Coturnix japonica: one gene and its partner. The protein of the gene in region 2 interacts with the protein of the main gene of each other region in a biochemical or structural test. Links are inferred from orthologs where the notes say so. Each region holds a gene or a part of one and is shown on either strand. Other genes may lie near its edges.

Region 1 (12,253 bases), on a different chromosome or scaffold from region 2:
GAACAATGACAACCACAATGTAAAGGCAGAAATAAGAGCTAACTAACCACAAGCCTTAACCCAATTCTTGTGCAGCCCCATGCACACTGATTACACAAGCGGACCTATTTTAGAATTTTACTACGTAACAGGAAAATTGGGAAGACTCATACCAAAGTTGTTTTGAAAATGTATGAATACTCTTTACCTGAAGTACACCTAATTTTGAAATTCCACAAGTCTACTGTACAGTAGTATTACAATTCAAAATGCACAACTAATCAGAGGAAGGATCAAAACTAAAAATTACTAATTATTTGTATATTGGAACAAAATACAAAGTCTTTGTTGTATCTAACTGCTAAGTAAGGTTATATAATGAGCTTCAGTAACAAGTATTAATATCTGTCTAGCTTTTCACTCCATATTTTCCAGCACACAGGACTATTCTGATCAAGTAAACTAGCACTGAATATGTAACTTGTCATAGGTTGTGTCACACTTTCATAAGTATGATCTGTATACTGTGACCTGACACCACATCCATTTAGTTTCAGCTCTACAAACCTCTAGTAACTTGATGCATTTCTACTTCTAATTTCATCCCGATCCTGGCACGACCATTCAATTTCATCATTTTTAAATAGCTCTATATGATAGCTGTATCAAATGTGGAAGAAGATACCAAGCAAACTGCTTGTTTCAGCTCTGGCTTGGAATCCTGCCTTGCTGAATACCACACTAAAGCATTCAGATACTGAAGAAAAGAACTAAACTGTTTAGAAAGACAAGAATATTCAGCTTGTACAACAGCCCAGAGAAAGGGATCAGAGTGTTCTGGCTGATGGCAAGTTGAACATGAGCCAGCAGTGTGCCCTGGCAGCCCAAAGGGCCAGCCATACCCTGGGGTGCATCAGGCCCAGTGCTGACACCAGGAAAAGGGAAGGACTTCCCCTTCTGCTCTGTATGGCCTCACCTCCAGCACTGCATGCAGATTTAGGCACCACAATACAAGAAGAACATGAAGCAATCAGGGGTGTCGAAAAGAGGGCAACAGAGATAGAGAAGGGTCTGGAAGGCAAGGTGTGTGAGGATTAGCTGTGGTCAATTGGTTTGTCTGGTTCAAAGCTCCCTCCATGTCTGGGGGGGCCTCTTGGCAGCCTACATCTTTCAAATCCTCTGTAGCACAAAAGTTCAACTTTGCCAAAAAAGACATTATGAAAGTAAGTTCATACAGAGCAACAAAACAGAAAACAAATTTAAAACACAAAGATGAACATACTTAAAAAGTAAGGGAAAGAGTGAAGTCTTCTACATTAAGAAAATCAACAATTAAGACTGAATAGACATAAAAAAACTTGTTACCTCTTTCTGAATATCAGCAATATGGGAAGACAGTGCTTCGATTCGCATACGACTTTCATGAAGTTCTTCTTTTACTTTGTTGGCTGTACAACTGTGCATCTCAGATGACTGTCTAATATTTTCAAGCTGAAATAGATCAGACATCAACTTAAAAGTACCCTTAACTAAAAGAAAAAACCCATCTTCAAGCAAAACCATATACAACACTAAGATGCAAAAGTTCCTCTCTCTAGCTCTAATACATAATAAAACATCTCTCACTTCAGGTGTTAAATGTGGTCATTCAATTAACATGTTGGACTGCTCTCACTAATAACCACAACCCTCCAAATATTTATTCTAGGATTAACTCAACTCATTAGAAGTTTCCCTTGAAGACATTACTAAAGCTGGAATACTAAGTTCAGTTTTGACTCAAAAAAACAAACAACAGTATGTATTTAAATGCTGTTTGAGTATGTTTGAAGAGACACTAAACTGAAATTACCAATTTTCTACAAAAGCAAGTAAACAACTGATGCTGATTATCAGACAACATGAGCACATTAGTTACATGCCTTAAGATTACATGTACCAGTGCCATGTGTCACAGCTTCTTCATTTTAATTTATTACATTGAGTTCAAGTAATTTTGTCTTTAAACTGATTAAAACATCCAAAAGGAACTCTCAATTAGAAAGATTTTTCAGATTGTAGGAAGATTTTTACTAGATCTTATTTCCTTACATTTTTTTCTCTAGTTTTTCCAAGTCAGACTGAAGCCCTGAAGATAAGCAACTACACAGTTCTCCAGCTTTGCTTTTAAAAATACTGAATGCAGTTCTGAAAAACACTAACTGCAATAAGAAACCACAGGAACCAGGTTGAGTTGAGACATCAGCATCCTTCCTTATAAAAATGCTGAACAACAGCAGAGGAAGGAAATGATGAAGTACAACTGACTTCAGTTTGAGTAGGATTTCACCCTTCTATGGATGCAGAAATGACTGGGTGTGGTCAAGGTCTCCACACAAGAACTTGGACATAGAGTCTAAGAACTTGGGGTGCTGTCTTCTCAGCAAGCCACACTACAGATTAAGCTTTACACAAGATATGAAACACAATGCTTATTATTGAGATTGTTCTATAACACTTATAAACACAACTTTCCTTGAATTTAAAGTAATCTCAGTACAAATCTTCTTCCACATTCACACAGTGCTTTCTGTACTTCTTTTGTGCTGTTTAAGTTTTAACTGTCTCCAAAAATGAGAACTAAAAATGCAGATTTACCTTCAAAAACATCTTGATTTTATACCAAATGCCAAAATGAAATCCTCTGAAATCTAATTGTTAGGATATCCCTCCGTTACACAAAGCAAAACAAAGTAAATCAGACAACTGTATGAAAGAACATTCTCACTTTGCTACTGTAAGTCTGTTCAAGCTCCTCTTTGTACAGTTTCACTTGTGCATCATGCTGCTCTCTTATTTCCTTTAGTGCTTGGGCCAGTTTATACTCATATTCTATTTGACGTCCAGAATCAACTTCAACTAAGCGAGTTTCATGTTTTCTTTTCGTCTCCTTGATTTCCTAAGAAAAAAATAAATTAAAAAAAATAATAAAATCACCATTCAATAAACAAGGAAAAGTAAGTTTTAGAATCTGACTACCCAATGAGTAGGTAATAATAGAAGTTTCAGGAAGTCTTGCGAGTATTTATTGAAGAAGTTGAGGGCTTCACACTAGGTATGAAGGGGAAAGGGATTAAAGCTAGACTCGCTAGTGATGAGCCCGGGAGAATGATATCAGGGTTTGGAGTGAAGCCAACAGCTCAGCTGAAGTACAGCTACACCAATGCATACAGCACAGGCAACAAACAGGAAAAGCTAGAAGCAATGTATGTATGCATTGTATGGCAAGCAAACTATGATTTAGTTGCCATTACAGAAACATGGTGAGATCACTCACATAAATGGACGATTATGAACTCTTTGGAAGTGACAGGCAAACAAGGCGGGGATGGTGGTGTGGGTCTCAGTATTTAAGAGTGTTTTGATGCTGTAAAGCTTGGGGCTGGGAATGCTAAGATCAAGACCCTATGGGTGGGCATCAAATGAAAGGCCAGGAAGGCTCACATCTTAGTGGGGGCCTGTTACCTAACATCCTAACCAGGATGAAGAGACAGACAAGGCATTCTACAAGCAACTGCCAGAAGTCACACAATCACCAGCCCTTGTTCTAGCAGGGGACTTCAACTTCCCTGATATACGCAGGAAATGCAACACAGCCCAGAGGAAGTAATCTAGAATGGAATGCATGGAAGATAATAGCCTGATACTGCTGGAGCCTGCCAAAGGTGCTGTGCTAGACCTGCTGTTCACAAACCAAGGAGGACTGGTGGGAGATGCGTTGACTGGGAGTTGTCTTGTGCAGAATGGCCATGAAATCACAAGATTTCTTTGTTCTTGGTGAAGTCAGGAGCAGAGGGTCAGCAAAACTGCTATCCTGGTCTTCTGGAGGGCAGATTTTGAGCTGCTTGGGACATTGGTAGAGAGGATCCCTTGGGAGTCAGTCCCGAAGGATAAAGGTGTCCAGGAAGGCTGGACATTCCTCAAGAAGTCTTAAAGGCACAGCAGTAGGCTATTCCCCTGTGCCACAAGACAAGCAAGCAGAAAAAACAATCAGCATAGCTTAACGGGGAACTTCTACTGAGATTCTGGGAGAAAAAAAGTTTACCTCCTGTAGAAGAAGGGACAGGCAACTCAGGGAAAATACAAAGAAGCTGCTAGGATACACAGTAAGAATATTAGAAAGGCAGAAGCCCAGTATGGGTTCAACCTTGCCACTCTAGCAGGCAACAACAACAAAAAATTATTTTACAAATATATTATCAGTAACAGGAAGATGAAGGACAACCTCTGTCCTCCACTGAATGTGGCAGGGAACACAACAAGTAAGGGTAAGGAAAAAGATGACTTTCTCAATGCCTTCTTTACATTTGTTCTCAACACTCAGACCAGTTATCCTTGGGGCACTCAGCCTCCTGGCTTGGAAGCCTGGGATGTGGAGTAGAAAAATGCCCCAGCAATTCAGGTGAGAACGATTAGAGACCTACTGCTCTATCTGGACTGTCTAAGTCCACAGGCCCAGATGGGATCCACTTAAGGGTGCTGAGAGAGCTGGCAGAGGTGGTTGCCAAGCTGGTTCCATAAACTATTAGGGTTCCTGGTCAAGTCCCAGAGGACTGGAGGCTGTTGATGTAGTCTGCCTAGACTTCAGCAAAGCCTCTGACACCAGTTCCCCACAGTATTCTCTTGGAGAAGCTGGCAATCCCATGGCTTGGACTGACACACTTTTTCTGGGTTATAAACCGGCTGAAGGGTCAGGTCCAGATGGTGGTGGTGACTGGAGTTAAAACCAGTTGCCATCCAGTCAACAGTGGTGTTCCCCAGGTGACAGTACTGGAGTCTGTCCTGTTTAATACCTTTAATGATTATTTGGACAAGGGAATTGAGTGCACTCACAGTAAGTTTGCAGATGCCACTAAGGAGCGGGGAAGTATTCATCTACCTGAGGGTAGGAAGGCCCTACAGAGGGATCTAGACAGGCTGGATCACCAGGCTGAGGCCAAAGGGATGAATTTCAACAAGACCAAGAACTGGGTCCTGAACTTCAATCACAACCCCAGACAACTCCTCAGTCCTGGGGCAGAGTTACCTGCAAGGCTGTGCAGAGGAAAAGGATCTGTGGGGTGTTGGTCAGTACTCATCTAAACACAAGCCAGCAGTATGCCCAGGTGGCCAAGAAGGCCAACAACATCCTGGCTCATATCAGTAGTGTAGCCAGCAGTACTAGGGAGATGATCACCCCCCTGTTCTTAACACTGATGAGGCCACAGCTTGGGTACCACATTCAGTGCCTGGCCTCTCACTACAAGATAAAGGCCATGGAGTGTATCCAGAAAAGGACAATGAAGCCAGTGCTGAAGGACGTCCTATGAGTAACAGCTGAGGAAATCAAGATTGTTTAGTCTGGAGAAGAGGAGGCTCATGGGAGACCTTATCACTCTATGACCTGAAAGGAGGTTGAGGCAAGGTGACATGACACACAAAGCTATTTCATCATTTATGAGAGTTCTGATTTCTTATTTGCCTGTAATAAAAAGATGAAAACCTACCAGATACAAGTAAATTCTACTCAGAATGGGAGTTCATAAAGTTATTATTTCAGAATGACCCTTCACTTATCTTCTGTCCTTCAAGAATACAAAAAAAAAAAAATTTACCTCCTCATACATATTCTTACGGAATTCCAAATCCTCAATGAGGCTCTGACAACGATTTTCAAGATCCACCTTCTGTAAAGTTTCATCTGCAAGCTCTTTCTTGGCTGCAGCTAAAGAAACCTTGAGCTTTAGGAAAAAACACAGAAGTTGAGCACAACAATTATGCATCAAAACTCACATAACACAAATACCTCATCTGCCCACAGGTACATTAACTAGATATTAAGATTGAGGTTGACAACCTAATTTGGTATCTAAAAGCAATGATTTTTTGTCTCCTTTGTGATTGCTTGCACAAGTGAATTATAGATTATACATACAGATAAAATTCTTGTTAATGATAGTTATTAAATGTTCTAACAAGCCTTCATTTTTTCTACTTGGTAGAGAACAACTTCTTGGTTCCAGATTTCTCCTAGACTCATTTAAGGTATTTTTTTGTTGGTTTTGGTTTTCTTTTTGCTTAAAATCACAGTTAAGGTACTTCAGAGGGCCAACAAAACTGTAAGTTTTTTTGTTTTATTTTATACTTGCTATCAGATGTCCTGAAGACAGAGTGCCACAGACAGAACTAAAAGAAATGCACAGAGAATCACAAACTTAAACATAGGAAACACTTTTAAGTTCCAGCCATTCCAACTCAACTACTTTCAGGAAGTATCTTCAGGAAAAATCAAATGCGCTCAGTACATCTGTCATTACCCACTATGAAAGACAACTACAGCCATTCTCCAGCCATCTCTCATTGCGTCACCAATTTTTAATTTTTTTTTTTTTTTAATTTATTTTACTAAATAATTATTCCAAGACTCCCTAAGGAATCTTCCTTGCTGCAATTTAAATCTATCAGTTTTTGGTTGATTTTGACTGACACGAACAACTGACTGTAGCAGTCCTTTAAGTGAAGGCTACAACTCTGCTCTCTGCAGTCAGTCCAAGGTCCATTGTACTTTCCAGATTCTTTCTGGAAAAGCAGTACTGATCAGTTACTCATCATCTATATTAATGACCACAGTCACTCCCTAGAAATAGTTCTCCAATTTTTAAGTCTATTTTGAACGCTTGATCTGTTCATCCACAGAAGTATGATCCTTTATATTTCACATAGCCTGACATTTTAATAGCGCTCTACTATTATGCTACTAATTATAATTATGCTACTAATACACTGAACCATACTGAACATATACTTATTCAATACTTTCTTGAACTCTGACAGCAAAATTTAAGTCCTAGATTTACATTTACGTTTTGGCTACAAAGCAGCATTTTACCACAATGACATGCAGTTCCATAGTCAAGTATTTCTTCTTCTCACCTGTGCAATTTGATCCCTTAAATCCTCAAGCTCTTCTTCCTGACTTCTCTTATCACCAAGAGCTGTGGCCAGTGCAGCTTCTTTAGCATTCAGCGCTGCTTCAAACTCTCGAAGCTTGACTTGAGCTGCATTAAGATCAGAATCCTTTTTTGCATAGCTGGAATAAAACAGGGAAAGCAAGAGGAAGTATAGAAATGGCCCAAAGAAGGGTGCTGACCAGAAGAACAAATTGCAATCTAAACACTTATTTAAATTACTTTAGTTTAAACAAACTACTTAGTTCTGTTCTCTTATACTACACAGCAATAGCTTTGTACTTCACTTGAACTGTAGAAACCTTATTATATGGGAAACTGAATGTCAAGGGATTTTATAAGTGATGTATAAATGGAAAGTGGAAACTGTTTTATAAAAGTTGTGTTTTGTTTTCTCCTTCACAAGCCACTCTAAAATGTCCTATCCTCAGAGTTCCAATAGGTAGAAATAACACCCTTTTCATACAGTGGAAACAATCTCTGCAGCTCATTTTACTTGCGCAGGAACTTGTGCAGATCTACAGTCCAGCCTGCAAACAGCCCTCTTTCAACTAACAGACTAGCTTCTTAATGAAAATTAAAGTTCACTATGTGTAAGCCAACACTCCATGAACAGTAGCTGTAGTATAGCAAGTTATTTTGCAGCACCCTTCTAATTACACGTAATGGCTAAATTCCACAGGTCAGAGCAAAGATACCCAAATATTTTTAACATAATAGCCTGCCATCAACAAAACTGCACTGGTGATAAGGTACAAGTGCCTTATTTTTAAAAAGTGGCCAATGTTGTTTTCAAGTTATTGTTCAAGCTAGCTTTCAGGTCTATATAGGTGTGCAAATGGATTTATTCTCTAAGGTATATGCAAACAAGGCAATCAAATGAGAAAAATAAAATAATTCTAAAAGTTGGATTATTTCCTCTCCAGGATATCCATATTTCTCAGGTGAAGGAAGCAGCACACAGGAATTCTAAATATTTATAGTCAGCCATCACTCATCCTAGAGGAACAAATAGATTAGGACAACAGCTAGCAGACTTCAGTTTCCACATTTTCTTGGAAGAAAAAACAAAAACAAAGATGCTTAATAACTAGATCCTAAGGGCTAGAGCATGAATTCAGCCCGTACTTCTCAAACTGAAGTACTGCACTTACAAGCATCAACAGCAAAGCTTCTCAGTAAAATGAGACAAGCATCAAATCATCATACAATTTTGAAGAGGAGAAGCTTAAATTTAAGTGGCTTTTCCAAGATAACATGCAATGCAATTAATATCAATTTCCAAGAGAAAAGGGTATGCACAAGACTTATCAAGAAGTTGTATGAATTATTTTGGAGACAATTTAAGCCACACAACCACCAGATGGCAGGCTTTATGTAACAGTCTTAGCCTTAAGCCACCTCCTCTGAATGACAGAACACATACTGATGCAGTACACAGCATAACAAGCACTGGCTATTCTGAAATCAAACCTGTTTTCAAGCATTTATTAACATTTCTGCTGCTCAGTGCTATCCACTTGCTCAATTAGGTTTCACATATGACTGCTTAGACCCAACAGTTGGGTTCACCTACCAACCGCAGAAAATAATTTAGGTTTAGGCCACATGGATTCCCTACTTCCAAGCTCCCTTTGTTACTCACCAGAGGCCCACAGCTCTGTCCCTTCCACTCCTACTCAGGCCTGCTAGAAATTCACTGTACAAGAAAACCCATATGGCACTGGAGGTAAAAAAAAATAAAAATAAACCAACAAAAAACCAAAACAGGAGAAGTATCATCCCACGATGGTATGAATACAGCGGAAACCTCTGCATTATCTACTAAGACTGATGAGGGCCTATATCAAGCCTTCACTGCCTGACCATCACTGGTTAATACTTTGCTCACAACATGCAGAAACTGCTTCACACAGACTCTCACAAAGCTGAAATCAAGCCTGTCAAGTTGGATCCTAAAGCTACAAGTCTGGCCCTCAAAGTGGGTCACCTATACAGCAGTGCAATCCCACCTGTATTAACCCAGACTCTAAGACAAGAAGATTCTCACTGTGACCAAGGTCACAGAAGGGAAGGACAGAATTGAAGTGCTATTAGTTAATACTGTCATGAGTTGCTTCATAATCAAAGAGCTCATCTAAATATATTCTCAGGAAGAGAACAAATAAGAGCTAAACACTTCAAATGCTGAAAGCCAGACTAAATCTCATCACTCCATTGGTGTCTTCCCAGCCCTAAAGGAATACACAGAAGAAGGGCAACAAGATCAGAAAAACCTCTAAACATCACACATATACCTCACACACCTTTTTCCACCACAAAAAGCTGAAGCTGCATTTCAAAGCAACAATAAGAAAGCCCAACCCCCAAGTACGTTCTCACTGCCATGTTCAGCAATTACCTAGAACTGTACTCCAAGTAGTTTCACTCCTGAAAGCAATAAAAGCAAATAATTAATTTCTAGCTTGCCTCTTCAAAGAAGAAACTTGCTTTTCTCTTCGGACTTTGAAGTGAATGTATCTTTTCATCTAAGGAATTACAATTTATTTCAAAATAAGCCAGAACCAAGATCTGACCAAAGCCAAGCCAGTTCCTCTTTATTTTCTTAGGATTTCAGGGAGAACTGGTGTTTCAGAAACGTAACCCACATCATTTAACTCAGACACACACTGCAGGGAGACTCTCAACTGGTATTACCTGTCTGCTCTCACTAATAGAAGCTGTAGCCAGTAATGCTTTAGATAAGGCCTTGCACAAACTGCCATTCACAAAGTAATGCCCCCTATTTATTTCCTTGAAACCTACAACACATAAAAAGATCACAATATCACTATTTGATAGAATCAGTGTAAACACTTTTAACATAGCAACCACTATTAGCTAGTCATAAACAGAAGCCTGCATTGCCACGCTTATAACAATCCACAGCAGCAGAGGTGACCCACTGGTGCGGTTGCTACTGCTGAAAGGCACCACCCACCTCACTGTGCTCACAGACACTGGCCTCCAAAAACATTCAGCCAGAGTCAATGAGGGTGACATTTTTTCTCCACAAAGGAATGTAATGCCTCACCTTTGCTTTATTCACACTTCCATGTCAGACACCATTGTGTCAAACTGCCCCTCTGTTTCCACTGGTCATATATAATAGGATATTGGTGGGAAGGTCCAACCTCTACTGCCATACCACCAACATCAGCTTCCATTGTAGGCCACAGTGCCACTCTGAGGAGTGCTGGTAACTCAGTCAGCTGCAGACATATGCCCTGTTCACATTCACTCAAAGTTCTCAGACCCACAGCATTGTAACCAAGACACAGCATTTTAGATAGCTCAGTTTGCTCACCATTCCCATCGCACACTTTGTAAAACAGAATGAACAAACACAATTCTAAGGTACCATGGTTGTGTCTGGTTACCTGTGGCAGCCCATTTAAAACTAACAGAAAGCTCCTGAAATGTCACTGGTGCTACCACTGCTCCAGTGCATTATCTACAGAATTTAAGAGTGCATTTCAGAGAAACAGACGTGCCACTGAGTCTCAGGGAAAGAGGAAGGATCCCTTTTCATGTTCTTGCAACCACCCTTCCTCTTTCGTAAACTCTGAAGTTCATGAAACATCCTAAACTTTCCTGCAATTTCCTTGAATTTCTTACTAAGCTAGCTGAAAAGCTACCTAAGAAACAAAAATATTTTCATACCAGTTTATATTCCCCAGCATCCAATAAACCACACATCTAAAGCAGAAAAAAGTCAGAATCACCAAGGTTGGAAAAGACCCACGGGATCACCCAGTCCAACCATCAACCAATCACCAATAGTTCTCACTAGACCATGCCCCTTAACACAACGTATAAATGTTCCTTGAACACCTCCAGGGTTGGTAACTCCACCACCTCCTTGGGCAGCCCATTCCAGTGCTTAAGCAGAAGCAGTGAGACCATCACTTTCAAGGAGCAGCTAGACCTCAAGCTGAGCCTGGACACAACTCCAAGTTCCAAGTGCAAGATGCCAGCCACCTAGGGAAAACGCCTTTCTTGTCTCCCAACATGCACCCACTCATTCCTGACAGTATTTGGACAGCCACAGAGTTAAGAGCTGCCAGCAGTAATCTCAAAAAACATTCATTTATCAGCCAATTCTTGAAACAACTATGCAAGCGTAATTAATTATAAAGTAGCTCAAAGCTACATCTATGTAAAGTTACATGGTACCATACATTGTGCCAGCACTGCGCTCAAGTTGAGGGGTGTGTGTGTGTGGAGAAACAAATCTAGTCACTGAATGCTAGTTAAACAAGACATCAAGCAATGCTTTCCTATGTTTCTTCCCTTAAGGCAGAGAATATAATGAAGTTGTATTTCACAAGAATACAATTCATAAAAACAGAAAAGGTATCTGTCTGGAAGCACTGATGATTATTATGTATTCGTATCAGCATGACAATAAACAACACCGGTTAAGCTCACCACTTATATAGATTAATATATGTAACTTGGTTCTAACTTCTTATTTCATCAACTTTATACAGTTGGAAATGGTGAATCTTTGAAATTATGGCTAAACATATCACCACCCCCATCACTCAGCCCTCTTTCTGAAGAGCTCAGTTGACCATATGAATTCAAGAATGATAACCATCAGTTTTAGAACAGCCTTTGCGTTATGTACATCAAACCACTGCTCAAAATTAATTATTTTTACAGGTTTTAAAAAGAAGAGTACAAGTATAAGCACTTATGGTTCAGGGAAGTCTGATGTGTTTCCATATCTGTCTCATTATTAGATAACTGAAGATGCAGACACCTGTGATCAGTTGATTGTGTCCATTACAGTGGTGGTATCATGGCTGCAGTGACTCCTTTGCCTCATTTACTTAAACACATCATAATCTTGACCAAACAAATCTTAAAATGGCAGTAAAGAGTTCACAGAAATTCAAAATGAGGAGAGCACAGCTCCAAAATGCCACCACATTGAATTTTACATAAAAACACCACATTATAAACAGCCTGTTTATTCAGTGGAAGCAGTAGCACTCACAAAATTTCTGCAGAACATACTGAATGAGTTTGTTTAATAAGATCCCATGGAAAATTAAAAAAACCCAAAGAAAAACCAACACAAAACAATATCAGGTGTCAAAACTCCAAAAAGAGATGAAGAATAAGCTGCATAGAGTTGTCTAAACCAGGGTGGGAACATACATACAGCAGGCACGTGATAAAATAACATTCTCATAACTTGACTATATTTGGCAGCAGTACATCTCACACTTCATAACTAG
Region 2 (11,172 bases):
CTGAAAGCCAACGTTTGTTCTTTTAAATTCAATGAAACCCAACACTCAGTTCTGTCATTTTCAAGTGCTACGTGGAAGTTCACACAACAGCACTAACAGACTTCAGTAATTACAGGGCTTTAGAACAGAAATCCTATCAAGAACCTTTTATAGGATTGAATTTTTAATAAAAGCAGGCAAACATTTTCCTATAGGCAGCATATAGGAACATGAGTTTTCACATCTACTTCCACTACCGGTAGGTCTGACCTTTGGAAGTCACAGCAGTGATTAGGTAACACACAGGAAGGTCTCGGCCTTAAATCTAAGGAGCATCACTGTGTCTTTTCACAGCATTCTTATGCACCTCTATCTATTGAAGCACTAAGGAGAAAAATCAAATAAAACAATACAGAATAGCTGCAGGCTATTCAACATTCGTGTATGTCCAGATAGAAATAAAACACACACACACATACAAAAAAAGGATGCTTTAGACGCATATATGTTCGGGGGTCTTCTCCGCAGTCAGAAGCACGGGCCTACAGGCTCAGACGAGCCCGAAGCAGCGATCCGGCAGCCCCAGGGCAGCCATCAGCGGGGCCTACACCACGGCTGCGATCCGGGACCTTCTCGCGTCCTTCGCCGCTCGGCGCGATCCGCCGTGGAGCGGAAGGGGCCGCCAGCGCCTCCCCCTCGCGTGCCCTTCCTCGTCCTCCAAGCGGCCGCGCGTAGGCCCGGCGCCGGCCCGTCCCCGCCCGCGTCCCGCAGCGACCGCTCCCCGTCCCAACGGGCACAGGCCCGATCCCGCACCGTGACCTTCCGTCCCTCTCTCACCTTCGGAGGCGGACGCTGCCGCCAGGCTCCGCCGCGTGGTGGGCGCCTCGGCCGGCTCCGCGCGCTTCCTCAGCCCATCCTGACACAGCTGGAAGTGAGGCGCGTAGAAAGGGTTGAGCCGCGCGAGCGGCGCGATGGACGAGAACATGGCGACCTGAGGCGGGCGACAAGAGCGGAATGGGGCGGCGAGGCCTCGCTCAGGCAGGGCCCGGCGGTCCCGTACCCGGCGGTCCCGTACCCGGCACGGGCTCGGCGGCCCAGCCGCACACCGGGCCCTGCCGGCCGGGCGCCCCGACTCACCTCCTAAGATGGCGGCAGGCGCGCAGCGCTGCTCAGCCCGCAGAGGCTGGCACGGGGCACGGCGCACAGACTTTGTCCTTCGCCTACGCGAGGGGCGGAGCCGCCAGACAAGAAGCCGCGAGACGGTTGGATGAAGAGCCCCGCGAACCGGCGCCGCCGCGCATGCGTGATCCACGCCAACGCCCTTCCCCCTCCCCCACAGCGGGGAGGAAGGGCGGGGTGTCACTGAGGGGACGGCAAGGAGCATGGGCCGCAATTGTTAGGCTTGCTATTAACTTCAATAACATCTAATTACTGGTAGTTGTATCTATAATTGGACACATAACCAGTACTAATACTTGAAATTAGTCTGTAGAACAGCCTGGCACTTGGCTTTAGCTGACAATTAACTTCTAACCTCTGCGCTGTTAACAAGGCAGAGTCTAACATCCCAGTGGAAGTACAGGAATAACTTACATTTCTGCTAAATGCCTTTAAGTTATGCAGAAAATCCCTTCAGCTTCTCCCAGACATGGAATAAAACAGCAATAGCCTGCAATTACATGGAGTGAATCCGATTCCTGGCCCACAATAGGCAGCAATAGGAAACAGCCTTTCATGACTATGCTTTGGACCATTATGGCTATTCTCCCTTATCACCTATTGATACGAACCACTCTAGTTTTACTACCAGAATAATCCACTTTCATAAACACGAAATAACACAGCAGCACAGAACACAAGCACTGACACACAGGTCATCTTTCTTTTGCTTTCTTCTTTCCAGCAATGCATTTATTTCGATAAGGAAAAAAAAAAATCCACACACATTAAAATCATTTTTATTTTTCTGCATTTTGACACCAAAAAAAGTGAATGTCACGTGTTACAATTTGCTATAGGATGGACATAAGTTCAGCTATTTGGATTACTCGGAAAGCGGATAAAAGGAAAAAAAAACAAACAAACATTAAACCTTAACAGAAGAAACCTATAGTTTTGCTACAAATTACCATCTTTGTCCCAGAGGTCACAGAAAGTAACGTTCTCCCGTAGCTAATCTACACAGTAATTGTACCTATAGTAAAAATAGACCATTAACTAAAGTTCTCAGCTTTTCATAAGTAGCACTTCAAGAATAAGTATGATTTTATTGCATTTTTGTACGAAGCAATGAGACCGAACGTCTGGATGCTGCAGGTTTAAGCGCGTCAAAATGAATACATTCAATTTAAGAGTTGTTGCTTATCACTGCTCATCGGTAGTAGTGAAGTCAGCTGCCTGCTCAACTAAGTTACACAATATTGAGTGTTTTCGCATGCTTCCACTGAGAAAAATACTCAACTGCATGAATGTAGTAAATCTCACCTCAGAAGATGAAATTGGAGAAGAAAATGCAGCAATGCCCTCTTCATATAAGAATAAAAACTTCATATGGAATCTTCACACTTTGAGAATACCTCTCTACACGAATATTCAAAGATAATCACAAAGCTGTGATGGAGAGACCTCACATTAAGAAAAAAGACCACTGCTAAAAGTTGGATTTTTAGACTACCTTAGATAACAACTTTTACCCCAAAAAAGTATTTAGTAGCAAATTATATTTGATGCAAATTTTATTTTCCACGCATATTACTAATAAATAAGTGCCTCTAAAACATCCGTGGCCAATTTATATTGAACTCCTACGACACTGTAAGCACTGAAATGAAGTGATACATTTAAATGTTACACTTAAACAGTTACTAACATGATACTAAGACTCTTACAGAAATGCAAACAAGTTTACAGTTACATTTACTAAAAAGTTACAGTAACCTACAGAAAAGGCTGTTGTACTCTCCCTATATCCTAAGAGATCCAATTCAGTTAATTTGTTACTGATAAATGCATACAAAAATGCATCTCCCTCATTCACCTGTTATAAAATCATCTCCCCTTCATCATCTATCAAGATCTACCAAGACAAAAGTACAACTTCTTTCCTGTACAATGAAAAAAGCTTTAAAAACACAGCTTCACATTTTAGTACATTTTTGCCCTTCTCAGCTTCCAAGATCCCGCAAAAACAAATATACAGTTTCTCATAAATGAATTTAAATGATGTCCACATTAAAAAAATAAAGCCTACAAAAGTTCAAAGACCTAAAATAAAAACACCAAGTGTTACTCCTATGGCAAAGTGGTCTACTAGTCCAAAGTCCAGAAAGTTACCAGTGTCCATTTATTAGTTTGCTTCATTTATCCAATTGATCAGGTTCCAATCACATTATTTTTAAGTAGTCCTTGAGCCAATGAGAGGGCAGGAGAGTTCTCTATAATTAAAAACAGGAGATCAAAATGGGGTGTGCCTTTCAGAAAGACACTCATTTGGCACCGTCCTGAGAGAACATATGCAGATACTTAGCGAAAGGATTTCTCTGATTAGTTTCCATAGACTGATAAACTGAAAACAAGAAGACTGAAACAAGAACAAAGAGAAGAATTTTTATCCACAGGGGAACGGAGCGTTCTTTTTTCGTCGAAGGTTTCTCAGACTTGATGTCACTGGAGGTACTGTATTTTGGAGCATACTTATAGAAACTTTCATCCAGTTTGAAGTCAGTGTGCTCGATAGGCCGGCTAGCAGCTCCTTTGATTGGTCTACGGCAGCTAGCACTGTTAATTAGAAAACAAAAGCACCCATGTGTTTAAAAAAACCATCTAAAGTACACAAGAAAATTTTAGCATAACTGAAGAACTATAAATTACTTCCAGTGAACAGAGTACCTGAAAACACAGAATCACAGAATGACCCGGGTTGGAAGGGACCTCAAGGATCATGTAGTTCCAACCCCCCTGCCTGGCTAGGGCACCTATATACATAACACCTTACTAGATCAGGTGCACAGGGCCCCGCTCCCGTCGCGATGGAGAGGCCTGTCTTGAAAGGCAACGATTGTCTTCCAAAGGACGGGGCATCCACACACCTCCCTGGGCAGCCTGTCCAGGACCTAATACCACTCCCCTAGGTAAAGAACTCCCCCTGACATCCAACCTAAATCTTCCCTCTTTTAACTTAAAACCATTTCCCCTAGTCCTGCTATTGTCAGCCCTTTCAAAGAGTTTACTCCCCTCCTGGGTGTAGGTTCCCTTCAGGTATTGAAAGGCTGCAATGAGGTCACCCCGCAACCTTCTCTTCTCCAGGCTGAACAAACCCAACTCCCTCAGCCTGTTCTCAAATGCCTGTCTATAAGTGCTTTAGCATGTACCATTACAATTGTTGAGGTTAACTGTTCAGAGTTCAAATAAATATCCCTTTAAAAAACAAAACACTCAAGTGCCATTTTATGTCGGCCTACCCACATACTCCCATTACAACAAGAAATAAAATGCCAGGAAGCATCTGCACCTGTATCTTAACTGATCAGTTTTGCAGTCTTTCCAGGACCTCTAAACTTAGGATTGCCTCAGGCCATTAAAACATCACTGATGTCCAAATCAGTGCAAAGAGCAAAGTGATGAGGCAGTAAGGATTAAGAAACCACTGCAAGAATCTATTATTACTAACCTATCTGAATTAAGTCTCACCCAAACTATTTTTCTTAGAAATTACACTGCATTTTCTTTGTTTCATTTTACTATCCATTGCTCTGTCATCTTTTGCTTCCTAATGAACTTAGGAAGATTTCCAATGCAGCAATGACTCCACAGCCCCCACTCAATTTCAGATATCAGTATGCAGTAGCAGCCAATATTTCCAAAAGGGGGAGTCAGCTCTGTCAACTGCTTAGTTATCCAGAGAGCTATTTCAGTTTTTTGTTCAAGTACTGAGTTTGCAATATTAGTCCTTCTATTCACAATGCCAGCTTTATTCACACAAAGAGTGATGCTTGACCACAAAGGATCATTTACATAACAGAAAAAGACTTGGAAAATTACTTTTCGCTTTCAAAAAGAAGTCTCAAATCTATGCTGGGAGACCTTCTCTTAACTAACAGCAGGGGCTAAAACAGTTGTATCTAGCCATAGTAGGAGCCACAGAGTGGCCTCTTCCATTTAACCTCCAACAAGTTGCTACAGTAGTTACTGCTATAATGCTACCTTATTATTCCCCTGCTTCCCTCACTTTAAGTGAAGAAAAGGCTTTTTTGGCTAATAAAACTATGTATGCAGAACAGAAGAGCTCAACAGTTGTCTCAACTGCCACTAAGTCAGAATTGCAAAACTGCTCCTCAGAAATCTAGCAATATTAATCAACAGACCCTTTTCAGCTTAAATAGTTCTTAAGAAATGAGAAACAGCCCCCCCCACCTAAGCCACAGCAATACCTAATTCCTGTAGGTGTTGATACTTCATAAGGGAACATTTCCTTAAGAATATCCCTTTCTACTCTTCGTTCTTCTGTAGGAGTTCTCTCTGGCACCTAGAAAAACAAAAACCATTATAAGCTTAACAAACCTCATAATAGCAGGCTCCCACTTAACTATCTCAGTGTCCAAAACCATGTGCAGTTTGTAAGGAAGCATCTGAGCCACCCAGTGACATTTAAGAACTTTTAGTTAACCTTAATTATTGGACGCTGTCTGGCCACGTATGGTGTCTTAATGTATTCACTGCTCTCCTCAGTTTCCTTTAAGATAAAGAATGTGTCATAAATACAATACATCTGCGAGCCAATGATCTAGATGATGGAAAAAACTTAACCAATCACCTCTATCATGGCTGTGTTGAGCACATCACAGGATTGTTGGCGGCCAACGTGATTAGACAAGAATTGGTGTGGGTAATCTGTCTCTTTTCGCTGTAACAGACAATGTCATAGTACAGTGAAATACTATGCAGTTTGAAATAAAACATCAACTTTTCCCACAACCTTCTTATTTGACAATTAAGCCTAAACTGCAGTCGTTCTTACTATAAACAAAGGAAGTAGCCTTTTTCATAAATCTCAGATCCATTGGTAGAGCAGGCTTCACAAGCGTTAATACAAGTTTTACGTACAATGTCTACATGGATCAATTAACTCCATTTAAATTCAGCCAAGTATTATTTTGTAATGTAACATTCAACAGTAATCCAGTACTACATTAACAACTACAATCACATGCTCTCAAGTGCTTTTAGACATGTATCCAAATAATCTCAACAGCTTGAATAGGCTAACAGAGTATAAGAACAGTTTTCTTACTTGACAGCTAATAGAAACCTACAGTTGCTTTCTAAACTTTGACTTTGGATTTCAAGTAGTCCTACCACTGCAGTCCTTCAGTTGAGGCATTTCCCCGCCCAGGATATGCTGACTTAGCTAGATAATGCCACTCTTTGAACTATTCATGTAGTTTAAAAGAAAAAAGTACATTCTGTACAACATAAGATGAAATAATAGTCCAAAAGAGGATTATTTCCACCTTACAAAAACAAGGAAGGATAAGAAAAATAAAATAAAATAAAATAAAAATATGCATATATATATATACTCTTTTTGATGTCATATGACAACGCTAGTTTAGTTACAAGATCATGCCTCCTGGGCAACAAGACCCTCCACCCCTTCTATACTACAGAATAAATCCATACACATAAGAACCTTCTTCAAAGAAAGTAAGCAATAACAATCTAAGTTTTAATTTACTTCAGCTGTCATCAGTGGTTTCTTTGGTGTTCTTCTGGGCATGTCTGTGGGTTCACTTATTGACAATGTAGGAGCTGCATGCTTGAAATTTCCAGGCACCCTATTGCCAACCTGCCGAGATTCAAAATTGTTCAAACTCAGAATTAACCAAAACACAAAGTAAAATGGGGAAGGGAGACAAAACTAAGCAACATAACCCTTATCTGCATCAAATATGTGCATGTTAGTAATTCACTGAAAGTTATGTAACAGATACTCTGAAATAAGTAAAGGAAATACAATGCTTAGTCTAAATAGTTTATTTTAAGCCACTTAGAAACATAGAAGCTAATTAGTTCACAAGAAAAGCAAAGCTCTAAAGCAGATATTCTATATGTACTTAATTTAAGAAGAGATCTAAGCTTTTGAAGCAGATCTTCTCAGCCCTCCCCCCAAAAACATGAAACCATGTGTCTACCTAGTCCCATCTCAAAGTGAGCACCACTAGGCGCTAATATGCTATTGAACATATGGTTTCAAGACTACTGAATAAAAGAAGTCCTACTTTCTTTAAAAACAGCCTGTTTAAAACAATTCTGTCAGTAAAGACATATTATAAAAGGTATATTACAGAAAAAATACTACTTGTATTATTCATTAAATATATTTACTAAGCATATTTACTAGGCTCTCGTTGCTTGCAGTCAATATAGTTTCATCTATGGGAGTACTCTCTGACATAACAGCATCATCTACAGGCAACTGTACTGTAGCTTCCACCTGTTTGTTTAAAACAAAAGAAAACAGTTGAATAAAATAGCCACTGGGACCCTAATAGTGAAAAAAAATGCTTTTCTATTATAATAAGCCTCTCATCACCCTTTTCCTTGGTGTTCTTCTTGACACTCTTGTAGACTCCCTAGTAAATGCCTGAAGAGGTCCACTTTTTGAAGATCCACTTGTCCAGACAGTCTCAGTAACTCCATCTTGAGAATAAGTCTATTCAAGTATCAAACACATGATCAAATACATGAAAGCCAGTTCTCAACATTGGCTGCACACAACCAAAATAGCATATGTACTCCAGAACAAATATATCCAGAACTAAAAACAAAACAACCCCACACCAAAAACAAACAAAAGAAACCCAGCAACCTTAGATTCAGTAACATCCAACTAGCTACACAGGCACCGAAGACCTCAATACCTAGGTTAGAATTAACTGTTTTTTTAAATACTGAACCAACTAGATAATACCTAACAGTAAAAACTGATAACCTTCTCACTGTATGAAATAACCAATGCTTCAAGTAGTACTGCCAAATCAGACAGTGGATATGCTGACTTCTAGGCTTGTTACATTACATCCCTACAAAAAGAAGAAAACTTGTGATCACAAGCAGAATGCAACAACCTGCCCAACTCACAAACCTATTCTCTCCTGCAGAGAGTTCAGGCATAGACACCTGCACATCAACAAGATCTCATGTCCAGACAGAGGGAGATGTTTTTATAATCTTAGAAGTTTCCACAGTGATAAATGTCACTCACTTCTCCCTTAATTGTAGGTTAAAATGACCCAGCTTAAGACAGTTCATAGTAAACCCAAGTAATAGTGAAGTGTCAGACTTTCACAGCCAGTAGTAAATACACATCAATCCCCATAGCCTTACTGCAAGTTTTATGCTTAAATTAAAATCTTCCTCAAATCTAATTCCAAGCATAAATCTAGAAGGAAAGGGAGATGAGGGACATCCTGCTTCTTCTAAAATAGACCTAAGATTTTGTTTGTTTAATTAAGAACAATCAGAAAAATCCCTTGCTGATAACGAAGTCTATGTATCTCTTCCACTGGTGCATTATCAAACTTTTGAAAGCTATATTTGGTGTTGGCGGGAGTTAAACAGACCAGCACAGCAAATTAACTTCACTGGAAGAATTAGCCCACAAAACAATGTATTCAGAGAATAGGCTGAAGTGTACTTACCAAGGGGTAGAAAAGTACAACACCACCCTTCTCAGTTTCCCAACTGTATCTTTGAAGTTACTTTAGTGAAACTAGAAACTGAGCAGCTTTATAATTTTTAACTGAATTATTACAGCTACTACATAACCAGTAGAGGGAGCACAAGTGTTTTGCTATGCTTCAAAGTCACTGAGAGACTGATAACTGAACGATATATTTTTCGGAACAGATCTCAAGTCCAAATAGATTCAGATATTTCATACAGATCTATATATTTCAGCCTATGCCTCTGATACTCTTTCAAATTTAAACCGACTTTTGATTAAAGGTCTCCTTAGTCCCAATCTAGACATTCACTAGATACTAGCTTCTCACATCCCCCATTAAGAAAGGCCTAATCTGCAACATTCAGTCATGTCACTTACTATTTGAGGGTTCTTCCTCAGAAACTTTAGGGAAAAAAAATAGTAATCTCAGAGAAGTTCAACTCAAATTCAATTCAAGAATGCAACAAGACAAGCTCCAGAGGGAGCTCTCCATTATTAGTTTTACTAGGAACTTTTTTTTCCTAAAGAAATCTTCAGTAAATAAGAACCTATGTGCTGAGTTCCTCAGATGGTTGAAAGTTATGTCTTAAGTACCAGGGAAATCTTGCATGAAAAATACAGGAAATGACTGAGTGTACTGCATGAGTCCCATCCCAACTTCAGCAGAGCCTATTCCGTAGACCAGAATTGAACCACTAATAGACCACTAATTGAACAGGTGTCCTCTGCTTATCCCACAAATACCTGAAGTAAATAAACACCATTAAAGTGTAATATTCAGATTGTACCCTGGTATGCTGTCAGAAAAAGACACAATACTGTTTAGAAGTATCATTCAGAGAATGCATTCAACTGACACAGATAATGATATTACCTGAACTATCACTTGCGAACTAACAGTTCTATGCTTTTCACATGGCATACACACAATAGATGTATATGTCAGCAGCTACAACACATGTATTTGATAACCAGGAAGTCATTAGATTATAGAAAGAGTAAAGAAGAGTAGGGGAACACAGTATATCCAGAATGCCACTGCAGAAATGCCATAAGAGCAAGTAGTTCTGAGCTCTAAGGACTCCCTAGCATTCACATGGCTTAGTCCACCTCTTTCTCACCTAATATGTGGCCTTAAACTCACATTTTTGACCTCTAACTCTATATCCACCTTCCTGATTGAAAGAACACATTCAAAGTCAGTGTTTTCTTCCAACTTCTTTAGTTCACTATGAGGAGGCAATTAGGCACTAGGAGCAGGACTCAAATTCATCTAGTCCATTGCTGCTCCCCAGATGATAGGACAAGTCAATGCCTCCCCTCAGCTTCTCCTCTGTTTTTTACACCAGCTTCCATAGACTTCTTATTTGCACTCATAAAAAAAAAACACTAACATCCACCAGTACCAAGACTTCAGCATCAGATGGCAGCCCTTCCAGTTGTGCATACCTACTCTAAAAATAGTGCAGCATAGGATGCATAAGTGACCAATAAGTTGTTCACACCGCACTGCCAACCAGTTTTGCCCCACCACTCTTCAAGAGCTTCAATCTCTGACTCAATGCCAGACAACAAACAGGAGTTGCAGCTAATTCTGCAGAATGAGTATGGTCATTTGACACATTATCTGCAATATAGAGATCCCATTTCACAAGAAGTAAAGGTCACCATCTTCCAAATCTTCCAGTTTTATTTGCCAGCCCAAAACATTTGAGTTTTGCTTCAAGCAACTATTAGGTGATGGTGTTGTTATTTATTTATTTAAAGCAGCAGTCATGAGTTTAAAGGCAAAAGGTTTAACAAACTTGAGAGTTCTTGAATTTGTTATTTTTACTAACCCACGAGGACAGCATTTCAAGTGATACTCCTTTGATTAGCTACTGGTATTTAAAATATGCAGACTGCAAAAATATTACATCTATACCACATGTGAAAGATTGTAAGAGAAATTAAGAGTAAAAACCCAGTATTATTACAGCAAAATTCAAAAACTGAAAAATTCCTCATCGCCTAAAATATCACAAACACATAAAAAAGGAAATAAGTATCTAAGATTACAAAGATTTGTTGGCAGCCAAATTAAATACTTCCACCACACTGAAGCTAGCAGGGCTTTCTGGATGGACAGTGACTTAGAAAAAGAATAATCCCTAAAACAGAAGAACCTTATGATTCTGATGGCCATTATAAAGACCATCATGAGGTCACATTGAATAACTTGATTTTGTGTGTTAAACTATGTGGTTGTTTTGTAGAAGATATGTTTAGTCTGCACCCCTAAGAACACAGTGAAATATAAGCAGAAGAAACTGAGGAACTCTGTAACTGTAACCCACAGAGCTGTGCATTACTTGCTTTAGGTAATACCCATAGCAAAATACAGCATGCTTGCATGCACATCTACCACCTAAATATGAACAATATGGTATTTATCATTCTATACAATCTTGAGAAAAGACTAGTCTCTT

Evidence for each region.
Region 1: the proteins of TMPO (region 2) and LMNB1 form a complex in vitro, tested with the Homo sapiens proteins (2 studies listed by BioGRID). The link is inferred for Coturnix japonica from reciprocal best matches to the Homo sapiens genes TMPO and LMNB1.

The regions. Positions count from the first base shown.
Region 1 is NC_029547.1:50,121,328-50,133,580, reverse strand, and holds part of LMNB1 (lamin-B1), read right to left. Parts: intron 7,088-12,253; coding exon 6,931-7,087; intron 5,739-6,930; coding exon 5,613-5,738; intron 2,918-5,612; coding exon 2,747-2,917; intron 1,471-2,746; coding exon 1,345-1,470; intron 1-1,344. UniProt on the Homo sapiens protein: Lamins are intermediate filament proteins that assemble into a filamentous meshwork, and which constitute the major components of the nuclear lamina, a fibrous layer on the nucleoplasmic side of the inner nuclear membrane.
Region 2 is NC_029516.1:42,483,624-42,494,795, reverse strand, and holds the end of TMPO (thymopoietin), read right to left. Parts: intron 7,691-11,172; coding exon 7,571-7,690; intron 7,472-7,570; coding exon 7,376-7,471; intron 6,824-7,375; coding exon 6,713-6,823; intron 5,882-6,712; coding exon 5,792-5,881; intron 5,711-5,791; coding exon 5,645-5,710; intron 5,504-5,644; coding exon 5,409-5,503; intron 3,757-5,408; coding exon 3,465-3,756; 3' UTR 1,921-3,464; downstream 1-1,920. Other genes in the region: SLC25A3 (phosphate carrier protein, mitochondrial), read right to left, coding at 817-964. UniProt on the Homo sapiens protein: May help direct the assembly of the nuclear lamina and thereby help maintain the structural organization of the nuclear envelope. Possible receptor for attachment of lamin filaments to the inner nuclear membrane.